Linked DNA regions of Arabidopsis thaliana. The protein of the gene in region 3 interacts with the protein of the main gene of each other region in a pairwise test. Each region holds a gene or a part of one and is shown on either strand. Other genes may lie near its edges. The genes, in order: AT1G10650, AT3G05000 and ERF13.

What was found.
Region 1: the proteins of ERF13 (region 3) and AT1G10650 interact in a two-hybrid assay, tested with the Arabidopsis thaliana proteins (one large-scale study listed by BioGRID).
Region 2: the proteins of ERF13 (region 3) and AT3G05000 interact in a two-hybrid assay, tested with the Arabidopsis thaliana proteins (one large-scale study listed by BioGRID).

The regions. Positions count from the first base shown.
Region 1 is NC_003070.9:3,523,393-3,528,178, reverse strand, and holds AT1G10650 (SBP (S-ribonuclease binding protein) family protein), read left to right. Parts: upstream 1-1,647; 5' UTR 1,648-2,079; intron 2,080-2,207; 5' UTR 2,208-2,270; intron 2,271-2,775; 5' UTR 2,776-2,860; coding exon 2,861-2,969; exon of another isoform or gene 2,970-3,059; coding exon 3,060-3,430; intron 3,431-3,517; coding exon 3,518-4,057; 3' UTR 4,058-4,193; downstream 4,194-4,786.
Region 2 is NC_003074.8:1,386,611-1,390,444, forward strand, and holds AT3G05000 (Transport protein particle (TRAPP) component), read right to left. Parts: upstream 2,222-3,834; 5' UTR 2,088-2,221; coding exon 1,936-2,087; intron 1,463-1,935; coding exon 1,345-1,462; intron 1,263-1,344; coding exon 1,040-1,262; intron 863-1,039; coding exon 834-862; 3' UTR 565-833; downstream 1-564. Other genes in the region: Cand2 (Protein of unknown function, transmembrane-40), read left to right, coding at 2,993-3,277, 3,584-3,775.
Region 3 is NC_003071.7:18,493,530-18,496,945, reverse strand, and holds ERF13 (ethylene-responsive element binding factor 13), read right to left. Parts: upstream 1,732-3,416; 5' UTR 1,507-1,731; coding exon 826-1,506; 3' UTR 619-825; downstream 1-618.

The DNA.
Region 1 (4,786 bases), on a different chromosome or scaffold from region 3:
GACATAGTCAAAAGCTATAAGCATAACAAATCCTCAACTAAATATTAATTGGATATCGTGTAACGTTACAAAAGAAAACTATAGTACACATAATAATAAATTGATTGCGTCTGTGTGGTTGCAACCACTAGAAAACCTTTTGCTTTTTCTTTTTCAAAAATTATATTCCCTCTTTTTCATTTGGATAAATTAATATTCCTATTTTACGAATGTTAACAAATTTTTACACGATTTAATTTTATTAGTGCAAAAGTTTTCCAAGTAAGTAAACTATAATTACCTTCCGACAAATCTGGCGTGCGACGGTTTGGTCTGGTCCACGTTTCGAGAAAGTCACGGTAACTACTCTATAAGGCTTCTTCTTCTTTATTTCCCCGCCAAAACTTACCCGCCATATTTGCCCAACGACCAGGCGCGTGGATCCCACTCGCAAATAAACGGCTCCTTTTTCTATTATCACACCAAAACATTGACTGAGATCACGGCGGACACGTTCTCGTTGATACCTTCTCCGTTACCGTCGCATGAATTTGAGTAAGTAAATGGGGATGTCAAAAAGACAAGAATACCCCTAGGGTTAGTTGACCATCTCTCTCCTTCTTCTTCGACTGTCATAATTCCCACACTGTGGAATCCGTGTCCTGCCTGACTTTGAATTTGACGTGAAACCATTATTCATTATTCATTATTATTATCTCCGTTCACATCTTGTATATTCATTTTATTATTACATTATAATAAATATAAAATAGGAAATACAGTGTGTTGATGGTCGTTGAGTGATTTTAAAATTAGGGAGACAGAGTTTGATTTTTCTATATAAAAATAAATAGTTCTCATGATGTACATAGCAACATCTGTGTTCGTCGTTCGTGGTATTGATTTAATCGGTGGAATATTTTAAATTATATATATATATATATATATATATATATATATATATCAATAACGCCTCTCATGGTATGGACTTCCAGAGAATCCAATTTGAATTGTTCACATGTAACACCCTACATAAATTATAATTATCTGAAAAATTTCAATGGTTTAATATTTCATATTTTGATACGTTTCAAAATGACAAATCTCTGCCGTAGTAAATGATATTCGATGTGAAAAAAAGAATCCTAGTTGATATGAAATGGCTTAAACTAGATACATGTGGAATCATGCAATGAGGTATTTATACTATTTCCTTACTGAAATTTAATCATATTCCACATTTTTAAATTACCTTATTCTGTATTTTTTATTTTTTGTTTTAGTCAAAACAATTTTTCAAAAATTAACCCTAAATTAGTAATTTCATTAAGTCATTTAATTAATAACAATGTTGGTGATAAACACGTTTTAAAAATATAATCTCACTATTTTTATTCAAAATCTTTAATGGTTGTATATATACCTTCCATATATGCATTAGCAATATAACTTCATCAATGATGAATCTAGTAAAACTTGTTATGTAACGTTTTGCGAACTATATTAAGCAAAATTGTTTTCAAAATTTGACTATTCATTTCCATATCCTAATATTACACATCTCTAATTAATATAGTATCAGTCAAACCTATAATTTTATGGGATTTGTAACAAAAAAGAAGGAAACCAAAAACAAAAAAAAAGAAGGTAATAATGAAAAGTTGGCGTAATGAAAGAGAAATACACAACTCACGAAAGAAAAGACGAGAAAGCACCACCAACGGTTCTTGTTTGGTGTTTACATTTACTATCAACCATTTTTTGTTTCTTTTCTCAAAGTTTTTTTTTGTTTTGAATGATTCAAAAAAAAAAAACGTATTAATAATTTCATATCGAAAATCGCCAACCCAACTTCCCCCACTTCTTCCACCACTGTCCCGCTCCATCGCACCCGCTTTGCTTACCACATCCATCATTCATTCATTTCCTTTCTTTCTTTCTTCTTCTTCCGTTTCTTTTGCCTCTTTCTTTTGTCTTCTTCCTTCTATTTTTTTGTGGCTTTAAATTTATTGGGTTTTGTTCTTCTTCTTCTTCTATAGCCGTTTCATCTTCACAATAGCATCTTCTTCTTTTTTTCCCTGTCAAGATCCTGAATCATCGGTTTGTCTCTCTCGATTTCTTAACCTCTTTTTTTTCTTTCTACAAAAATAATAATTATGGGCTATATAAAAAAGTATTTCTTTCTTTTAGTTGATGATGATTTTTGTTTTCCTAATATATATATGCAGGATCTAGAAGGAAACTAGAGTTTGTGAAATCAGATTAAATCTTGTGAGAAATCTCTGAAAAAGGTATAATTTTTATTTTCCTCTTCTTCTTCTTGTTATCATTTTTTTCCTTTTTGGGGAAGATTGCAATATTTTTAGGGTTTTCTGTTTCTGGGTTATGACTTGTTCTTTGAACTTTTGTTATCTTTCCATGTTCCTATAGATTTGCCTTATATCAGTATCTGTTAAGTTGCATATTTATATGGAACTTTGACTTTTGAACCAATCAATCAATCTCTTTTGTATCCCCTGTTTATCAGACAAACAATTCATAAGAATCTTATTGCTTAGGTAAAAATGATTATAATTCTCCACAAGTCTCTCTTTAGCATATAGATTTGGCATCAAATCTGTTTCTGTGATCCAGCATTGTCTCGTTTTACTATTCTCTGTTTTTTAACTCTGTTTGGTATTTGGTGTTCCAAATGTAAATAGACAATGATTCATGTTTTTTATTTGAGTATATGTGTTAGATTAGTTGCTTAAGACATGTCAGAATCTTGATTTTTCTATTCTTCTTCTTCCTTAGCTGCAGGTTTCTATACTTCTGTTAGTACTCTAATTCAACCGAGAAAGTCGAATACATACACACATTCATAACACTTTTGAGGAAGATGTTAAGTGGAAACAATGGAAACACTGCACCACCGGTTTTCATGAACGAGAACCAGTTGCAATACCAGACAAACCTACGATCGAATCAGCTTCACTTGCTCGGAAACAGTAAGTTTCGTTTTCTCTCATAATGTCCTCGTCGTAAACTAAACATCATTAAGAAACTTAGAATCTTTGTCTGTTTTTCTTTTTGTGCAGTGGGAGGTGGATGCACTGTTGATCCAGTAAACTACTTTGCTAACGATAACCTCGTTCCAATGATCCGCCCTAACAAAAGAGGAAGGGAAGCCGAAAGCATTAGTAACAACATCCAAAGACAACAGCAGAAGCTTCAAATGTCTTTGAACTATAATTATAACAACACTAGTGTTCGAGAAGAAGTGCCTAAAGAGAATCTAGTCTCAACTGGTCTGAGACTATCTTATGACGACGATGAACACAATTCTTCAGTGACTTCTGCTAGTGGTAGCATTTTAGCTGCTTCTCCAATCTTTCAGTCACTCGATGATAGTCTTCGGATTGATCTCCATAGACAAAAAGATGAGTTTGACCAGTTCATCAAGATCCAGGTACTGATTGTCTCTGCATGTAGGCTCTGTTTTTACGTGAAAAGGTTCTTCGATTCTAATGTTTTTGTTTGCTTTTATGTGGTTCAGGCAGCTCAAATGGCGAAAGGTGTGAGGGATATGAAACAGAGACACATCGCGTCTTTTCTCACAACATTAGAGAAAGGAGTGAGCAAGAAGCTTCAAGAGAAAGATCACGAGATCAATGATATGAACAAGAAGAATAAAGAGCTTGTGGAGCGGATAAAGCAAGTGGCAATGGAAGCTCAGAATTGGCACTACAGAGCAAAGTACAATGAGTCTGTGGTTAATGTCTTAAAGGCAAATCTCCAACAAGCAATGTCACACAACAACAGTGTGATAGCTGCTGCAGATCAAGGCAAAGAAGGTTTTGGAGACAGCGAAATAGATGATGCAGCTTCATCATACATCGATCCAAACAACAATAACAACAACAACATGGGGATTCATCAGAGGATGAGATGCAAAATGTGCAACGTCAAGGAAGTATCGGTGTTGATAGTGCCATGTCGGCACTTGAGTTTGTGTAAAGAATGTGATGTATTCACTAAGATTTGTCCTGTATGCAAGTCTTTGAAAAGTTCTTGCGTCCAAGTCTTCTTTTCTTGATTTGTGACCAAATGGAACAGAAGGAAAAAGAGAATCCATTATATAAGTCTTTCATACTCTTTTTAAAAAAATATTTTGTTATATAAATTTATTTGTATCGGTGTATTATTATGCATCTGTTTTAGAAGATCCTAGAAAAGTTATGAAATAAATTATTTATATGGATCAGTTGTCTTGAAGCAGCCAATGTAAAACAAACGCATGGTTACCATGAGCTTCGATTTTTGTCATCTCATCAACAATCTGATTGCTTTTGGATATGGAAGGGCTACTACTACTACTTTCGATTCATAGACCACACTTTTATTTGGGCCAACTACTGGGTCATTTGGTCCTTAAGACAAAAAAAAATAAGGGAAAAAGTTGTAGGTCAAATAATGGGCCACGCGTATCAGCCCATATAAACCAACCCGTACTTTTTTGAATTATATAACATGAACCGTCGTCTTATATGTAGACTGCATCTGCTTCTTAGTGGGCTCGAAAAATATTAGAAAAGCCCATATTGGCTTTTATATTAGGTCTTTTCTAAACAACGCATTGAACCCAACCAGAAATAACTGATTAAACCGGTAAATAGCCAATTAAAACCGGAAATACGCGTCTCGGACAGAGATGAAGTTGTCTCAAATCAAACGTGTCCGAAATCAATTTGTTCAATGCACAACGAAACCTTGTTTAGGGAGAACCAGAGCCAGCTTTGGATCCAATCTGGTTTTGGACTTCACG
Region 2 (3,834 bases), on a different chromosome or scaffold from region 3:
CTGTTTTGATTCGGATCATGTCAGACTACTTACTTTCATAATTGTGATTGATTAACCTAGAAGTTCCTAGTTCTAAACCGTCACACTAAGACTCAAGAGTAAGCAAAACACCAACATTAGATTTTTAAACTAGACTCTATGAGCACTCAACCAAAAATAATTTACAAAACAATCAGATGATTACGAACCACGTCTCCAAAGACAGATGCCGGAACACTACCAACAAATGAAGAATCGACATAAAGATGTGAGAAATTGAAACCCTAGAATAAGAAGTCAAACCACCTTACACAGGAGTCAGATTCACAAGAACAAAAAAAAAACTAAAAATTACATGGAACGAATAGGAGACAAATTAAAACATAACAATCGTTGTCTTCTAGAACCTTAGAAGAGTGTGGATTCCAGACCTAATTCCCAAATCAGTGACTTCTTCTGAGTTTGGAAAGTTGGCTAACCAAGGCCGAGAAGAAAGCTCCACTAAACCAAACGATTTGGAATTTGGATATCGAGTTAGTTTTTTTTTGTAGTATAAATTTTTTCAAAAAGAGTTTTTCAAGTTTTCCCAAATGTACGCCTTTTTTAAAAATGATATGAAATGGAGATGCATCAGGAATTACTGTATATAAGATATCAACAAAAATTTACAACAGAAAAATAAAAGTCATTTCAAACATGAAACCAAGCCCTCACTGTTTAAAACAAGCACCACAAGGCTAAAGTGTGTCAAAAGAACAGCAAACAGAAGCCTGCAATGGGTTTTAGATTGATCAGACCCGAAGGATCTATCTTCCTTGAAAGTATAAAGCCAAGTACTCGAGCTAAATGCAGAATCAAGCCTTGACCCGAATCACGAAAGAGCCTGTGAGGACATGACAAGGATAGTTACCGAACTGAAGCAACTTATAATGACAGGTAATAAGCAATATTTGAAATAATTTTCTATCTTTCTTCCCTCCAATGTGTGATTTTGAGAATATAGAAGAAAGTGAAAGAATATAAGAATTTCGAAAACAAGCAAAGCAAGCTGTGAACTCACATGTGGGAAGGCTTGATATATCTGCAGAGACAGCACAAGGTATCCCCAAGTTGGAGAGGACACCTCTAATGATTCCACACGGGAAATAGAGGTACATGCTCACCGCTTGTGCAGCTTTGCTTTCCCCTGGAGTAGAAGGATCTTGGGTTTCATTCTCAGATGAAGGGTCAATTGAGACACGAGACAACCACCGGAACTTGTTGTCTTGTAATACAAAAGTACCCTGAAGAGAAACATTCCATCTGTGAATAACACACACAAGAAGAGTTTTGGTCTTTGTTCAGGTAAAATCCCAGTTATCTTACCCGGTGATTTGTCTTTAAATTATCAATCTGCTTCTTGAAGACCTCAGACCAGAAGTCTTTGCAGATAAACTTGATTGCCTCTAGATGGTCACTGAACCTTGGTCTTTCCATAGTGTACCTAACGACATAAAAAAGGCTGAAGTTATGCACAATCAAGTAAAATGCTAAATATCTGCCATCATACAACACTGTAAAACAGTTTTTATGTAGGCAAACACCTTCAGAAGCAACAAAACATGCCTCAACAGACTAAAATCATTCTTCGTACACACACACTATAACTAATCAGGGACTAAGAGAATCATTCTTCTGAGACAACAAGAAAATTTCCTAACCAAAACATTGCACGATTAAATACAAAAATTAGCCACTAGAGCAATGAGAAAAAAACTCGAATCAGCGCCATATATCTTCCCATCTATCACATTCTCAGCCAATTACACACGAGAAACGATAAATCCAATATCAAAGAGAATCATTGCTAACGATATACATTCGCCATCATCTTCAGATCTACAACTAATACTAGCAACCTAGAGATACAATGATCAACCAGATCGAAAGAAGACGATGATCAAGTGTAAAACAAACCTCTCGGAGAGCTGGTGGCCGACCTGATAACCAATGGCCTCGATCCTCCGAGCGGCGAGTTCCGGCTTGTTAGCATAGAATCGGCCACTGTACATCGCCACCATCTCCATTAACATAGTGTCTACACAGCTCTCCGCCACTTCTCTCCCCATTTCTTCTCTCTCTCTCAGACTCTTTCCGTCTTCTCTCCACCGGTTTGGGGCTTATGCAACGAAGCTCCGATCTATTAACTTGTAGAGTATTTACATTTAAGTCCTTAATAGTTTTCTATTATTTCTGATCTGTGACTTCATTTTTTAAAGAGTCATGATAACCTTAATCTCTGACATTTAAACCGGATCGTCTTGGTTCAATTTTCCTTCAAATACCCGATTTATACAATTATTTCAAGTGAATGGAAATTACTTTTGGTGTGCTGAATGCTGATCATTTATGGTTAAAAATCAATTTTACTTGTATAATATGAGATATAAATATAAATAAATAAATCATGATTATTGAATAGGACTTTTTTAATATCTTTTTGGTGGGCAAAAGAGAGACAATTGTCTCCCACGTTTTCTAATTTAATTAAAAAGAATAACACATTATTGATTATTAAATAGCACTTCAAAAATTTACATTTCATAAGATTGATTTTGAAATTAGATCAGCTTGTAATAAGTCTTTCAAATTTAAGATACAGAATTGAAAAGAATAATATTTAAATTCTTTAAACATCACATGTCCAATAATTAACTCTTTAAACATCACATGTAAAATCAGTTAAAAATAAAAAGGATGAGAAAAATGATAGTTTTTTTTTTTTGTTTTAGAGTGGAAGTGGGAGAAGCGATGATAATTACCTATAATACCCTTTAACTTTTGTGTAATTACTCATGTTTGCGTCAAGTGTATGGATTTGGTCGCCAGAGAGAAGAAGAAATATACGATTCATACGAATTCTGTATCGCAAAAACATCAAATCTCGAAATTGAGCTCCTTTTCTGGAACTAGGGATTGCTTTCCGCTCCTTGCGCTAAGTCTACTTGGTTTCTGATTCGTACAATTTGATGAAATGCGAGTGCTCAGCGAGATTGCGGAGTCACCGTTCGTGATTTCTCGGCTAAGCCCTGATTCGACGGCCACCGGAGGGTTTATCGGCGGATGGGTCGGGAAGTGTCATGGGTTTCTTCATAACACGGTTTTGGTTTTAGCATCTATTCTATTCGTCGCTTACTTAGCGTACGAGGCGAAGAAGAGCTTGTCCAAGTTGTCTAATCGGAGATCTTACATTATGATTGCCTATTATGGTTTTCTTTGGCTTGTTAGCTTGCTCAATCTTGCTTGGTGTTGCCTTCAGGTTTGTTAAAGTTCTCTTCTTTACTTCGATTCATTTCACAAGTAACTCATACCTATGTTGCGTGTAAAGAGATCAGAACTTAGATTGAAGAAGAATGCTTTTTAGAGTGTTTTAGGCTCTGTAAATGTAGAAACTTTGCGATCTTATCAACATTGTTTTTATTCTACACTGGTGATTAGAAAGCTTTTGTATTTTGTGTAAGCTATTAGTGTTGATTTCTTGGTTAGATGCTGCTTAACAGGAAATGTTTTACCTGATTTAGTCTTACTCCAGATTTCGTTTTGAATTTACTTTTCATGAGTTTAGGCATGGGAATGCACTCCGGGGAAAGAAGTTATTTGGAATTTGTTAACTTTGTTCACAACATCTGGAATGTTGTTTCTGGAAGTAAGCTTGGTAGCCTTTCTCTTCCAAGGAAACTATGCAAGCGGTGCTGAAGCATTAACACGAACTTTCCTCATCTCGGGGCTTGTCATTGGTCTCGATTTGCTTCTCAAGGTAGATTTGTGTTCATAACTGTTAGATACACTTTCTGATATATAGATAGATATACTTCC
Region 3 (3,416 bases):
TAACCATTATGAAAGATTCATTAACACACCCAATACAACCTCTTCCCCAAATTCCAAATCTGCCTATCCCGACAATGGGACTACCTCCATTGCCCTCAACATTGCCACAACCATCTCTACCAACTCTTCCCACAATATGTTGTATTTTGGAATATTGTTTTGGGTGATAATCTAAATATTCTTATATAGGGAAAGAAAGACGTGTTCTGGATTCTATGATGGTACTTCGTGATATCATTATTAGTTTCACACCAAGAGCAGACTTTGTGTTTCCATCACATTACATACCATCATGACAACCCATCAACTTCGACTTCCACATCATGTAATGACTTTGTTTCAAACGGAAACCGGAATAACTAACTATATAAATGTCTCAAGATAAGCCTATCCAACTTCCTAAAATCTTCCAATGCTGACAATTCAAACCACTCAACAATTCCACAAATGGAAAAAGACTAGCCGTGACAAAACGATAATAAAAACACAAATCCTATGTATCCCTACATGATACATCCTACTATCTTAATTCTTAACTAATGGGCATGCTCTAAATAGACTAGTAAGCCCATGATTAGTAGAAATATAATACATCCCACATTGATTGTTACTTGCTCTATTTGAAATCTTTTTTTTCCTAGTTATATAAGAAAATAGATTATTATAGAAGTTTTACTATGGAACCGAATTTAGAAGAAAAAAACAAACGTCAATATTTAATTTCCATCACATTACATATGATCATGATCAAAACCTGTTGAGTCATCGATAGATATTTCATACAGCAAAACTCGTTGGACAAATTTTGCTTAATCTTAAAACTAATTATATCCGATTATCAGAATAAGAACATTCTGATTGGTCCATTAATAAACTACCATCGAAGTAAAACTGATCCACCGTGAAATCCAACTCCGGTACAACCAAACTAGACTCGCCGTCATCCACGTGGCTTTCCCTCTTCTGCTCCGACGTTAACTGATCGGAGACTGACGGTTCCGGCGAGCGACGGCGAGGCCTAATCCTAACCGGCTCATACTTACAAGAACCAATCAAATGCGGAAAATTCAGCTTAGCTTTCGATCCTCTGAGCTGAAACGCCGCTCGGTCGTACGCCACCGCCGCGTCCTCCGGCGTCTCGTAAGTCCCGAGCCAAACCCTAGCTCCGTTCTTCTTCGGATCCCTAATCTCCGCCGCGAATTTCCCCCACGGCCTCCTCCTCACTCCTCTGTACTGCATCCCCTTCTGCCTCGGCGCGTGTGAGCCACTCGCCTTCGTCGCCGGAGGCTTATTTTCCTCCGCCGGAGAGGTAACGGGAGGAACGGAGGGTGTCCAGCCGGAGCTAACGGCATCACGGAGAGTGTTGTAAATAGCCATGTCTTGAGAATCGTCGACACTTAACGGCAAGTCGCTCCAGTTATCGTTTAAGATAACGTTGCTGAAACTCGGGTTACGGAAGTACATCCGTGAGTTAACGCCGTTATTAACGGAATCAGATGAGCTCATAATGGATTCTTGAATGCTTCTGAACCGAAGAGAAGGTTTTTGATGAGAGTGTGTATTTTAGAGAGTGAGAGATGTTTTCTTCTTGGAGACTAATGAAGTGAAGAGATAAGTAGTTGTGTATGAGTTTATAAAGGTATGGAATGAGAGAAAGTCCATGGAAGGTTCTTTGAGGTTTTGATTTGATGATAGTTGTTACGTTCTTAGAAGATTCGTTTTCTTCTTTTTTTCTGTTCTTTTTTTGCCTCGTTCTTAAAATAGAACAGCGACAAAAATATTAGTTATTTATTTTTGTTTGGACTTTTGGTCTTTGGTCTTTCTTTTTCAGTAATATTTGTCTTTTTTTCTATAGATGATCTTGTTCTTCGATTTCTTTTTTTGTTGTTGGCTGTTCTTTGATATTTTGTAACCCAAATCATTATAAAATGATAATCCATATATACTTGACGATTTTAAATAACTGATTAAGAAATTAGTTAAATTCACTTTTTGTGGCCTATCTGTACTCACCAAAAATCCATCTATAATAAAGTTTTTTGACGAACAAAAATCAATCTACAAGATCTTAAACCTTTTTTGTTAAAAAAGAATCCACCGATTTAAAAACTAAGAAACTGTATAAACTCATATATATCTTTGGATGTTAATCAAATAATGTTTAGTGCTATATACACATAATAGGTTTTCACTCGATCATCTTTTGCCATTGGTTGCTTAAATAGAGTCAACTTTGTAAACTTTGTCAAGATTCATCAAAGTGAACAACAACAACAACAAAAAAGAGAGAGAGAGAGAGAGAGAGAAGAGCAAATATAAGTTATTGAAAACACTTGAAACGCGCAATACAACAGTGGAAGTCAAGAAAGCTATGGAAAATTACAAGATTCGTTTAGTCGTTAACGACGAGTCTAACAAAGTATATTAGTACATAATACAAAATTTTCCGGTATGAAATTGAATATAGGTAGTTAGTTACTCACCAATAAACAAAAGATTAGATTCATTCTTCGTTTATGTTTTTTCAGGAATAAAGTATAAATCCCTCCAAATTTAAAACATTAATAAGCAACTCCCATTAAAAAAATAAAACTAATCGGAAACAACGCAATTTTCACGTGCTGAATGTAATAAAATATTGTTAAGTCTGACGTCGAAAGGTTAAGTCGACCCACTGTGACTGTCAAAGACACGTTTTCTTAATTGCGACTTTCGTTTTATTCTCTCTAATCGTTCCTTTCGTTGCAACAACATCTCTACACAGACAAATGCAAATCGTTTAAATAATTATATTCAGTATTTTAATTATCGGAATATAAAAACGCCAGTCCTCTTGTTTACGTACAAAATAACAAAAACGTCGTGCACATATACGTGGGAAAGATGACGTGAGAATATTCTACTAGGTTTTTTGATAATGGGCCAAGGCACAAGTAGGTGATGCCTTGTGGAAAAGCCCGTTAAAGTCGGCTTAATCAAAAATCAAGTGGAGTAATAATAAGACCAACGTCCTACGCAACGATTTGGAGTCTTATCATAAAGCACCAATTAATCCACATGGCTGATGGCTGCTTTGGACATTAAAAAGACGAAATGTGTTATTAAAATGGATGTTTTGTTTCAACTATGGTTTACTATTTTGATTTCTTTCAACATAAGTCTTTATTTAAAGAAAATCACTGTAGAAACTATTCCTTGTTTAATTAGTTAAATACTATAGCTGAGAAGATTATAGAGAAAACACTAATCCAGTCATTAATTAACGTATAAATGAAAAAAGTGTATCATAGTATAACCTTTTATCGTTTTACCTATATGATCCCTATTCCCTAGGACTTGGCTTTTCTTTTTTGTTATGAAATGTGGGGATTTTTTGTTCATGTAGTTCCCAGCTACATGTTCTAATGAAATGAATA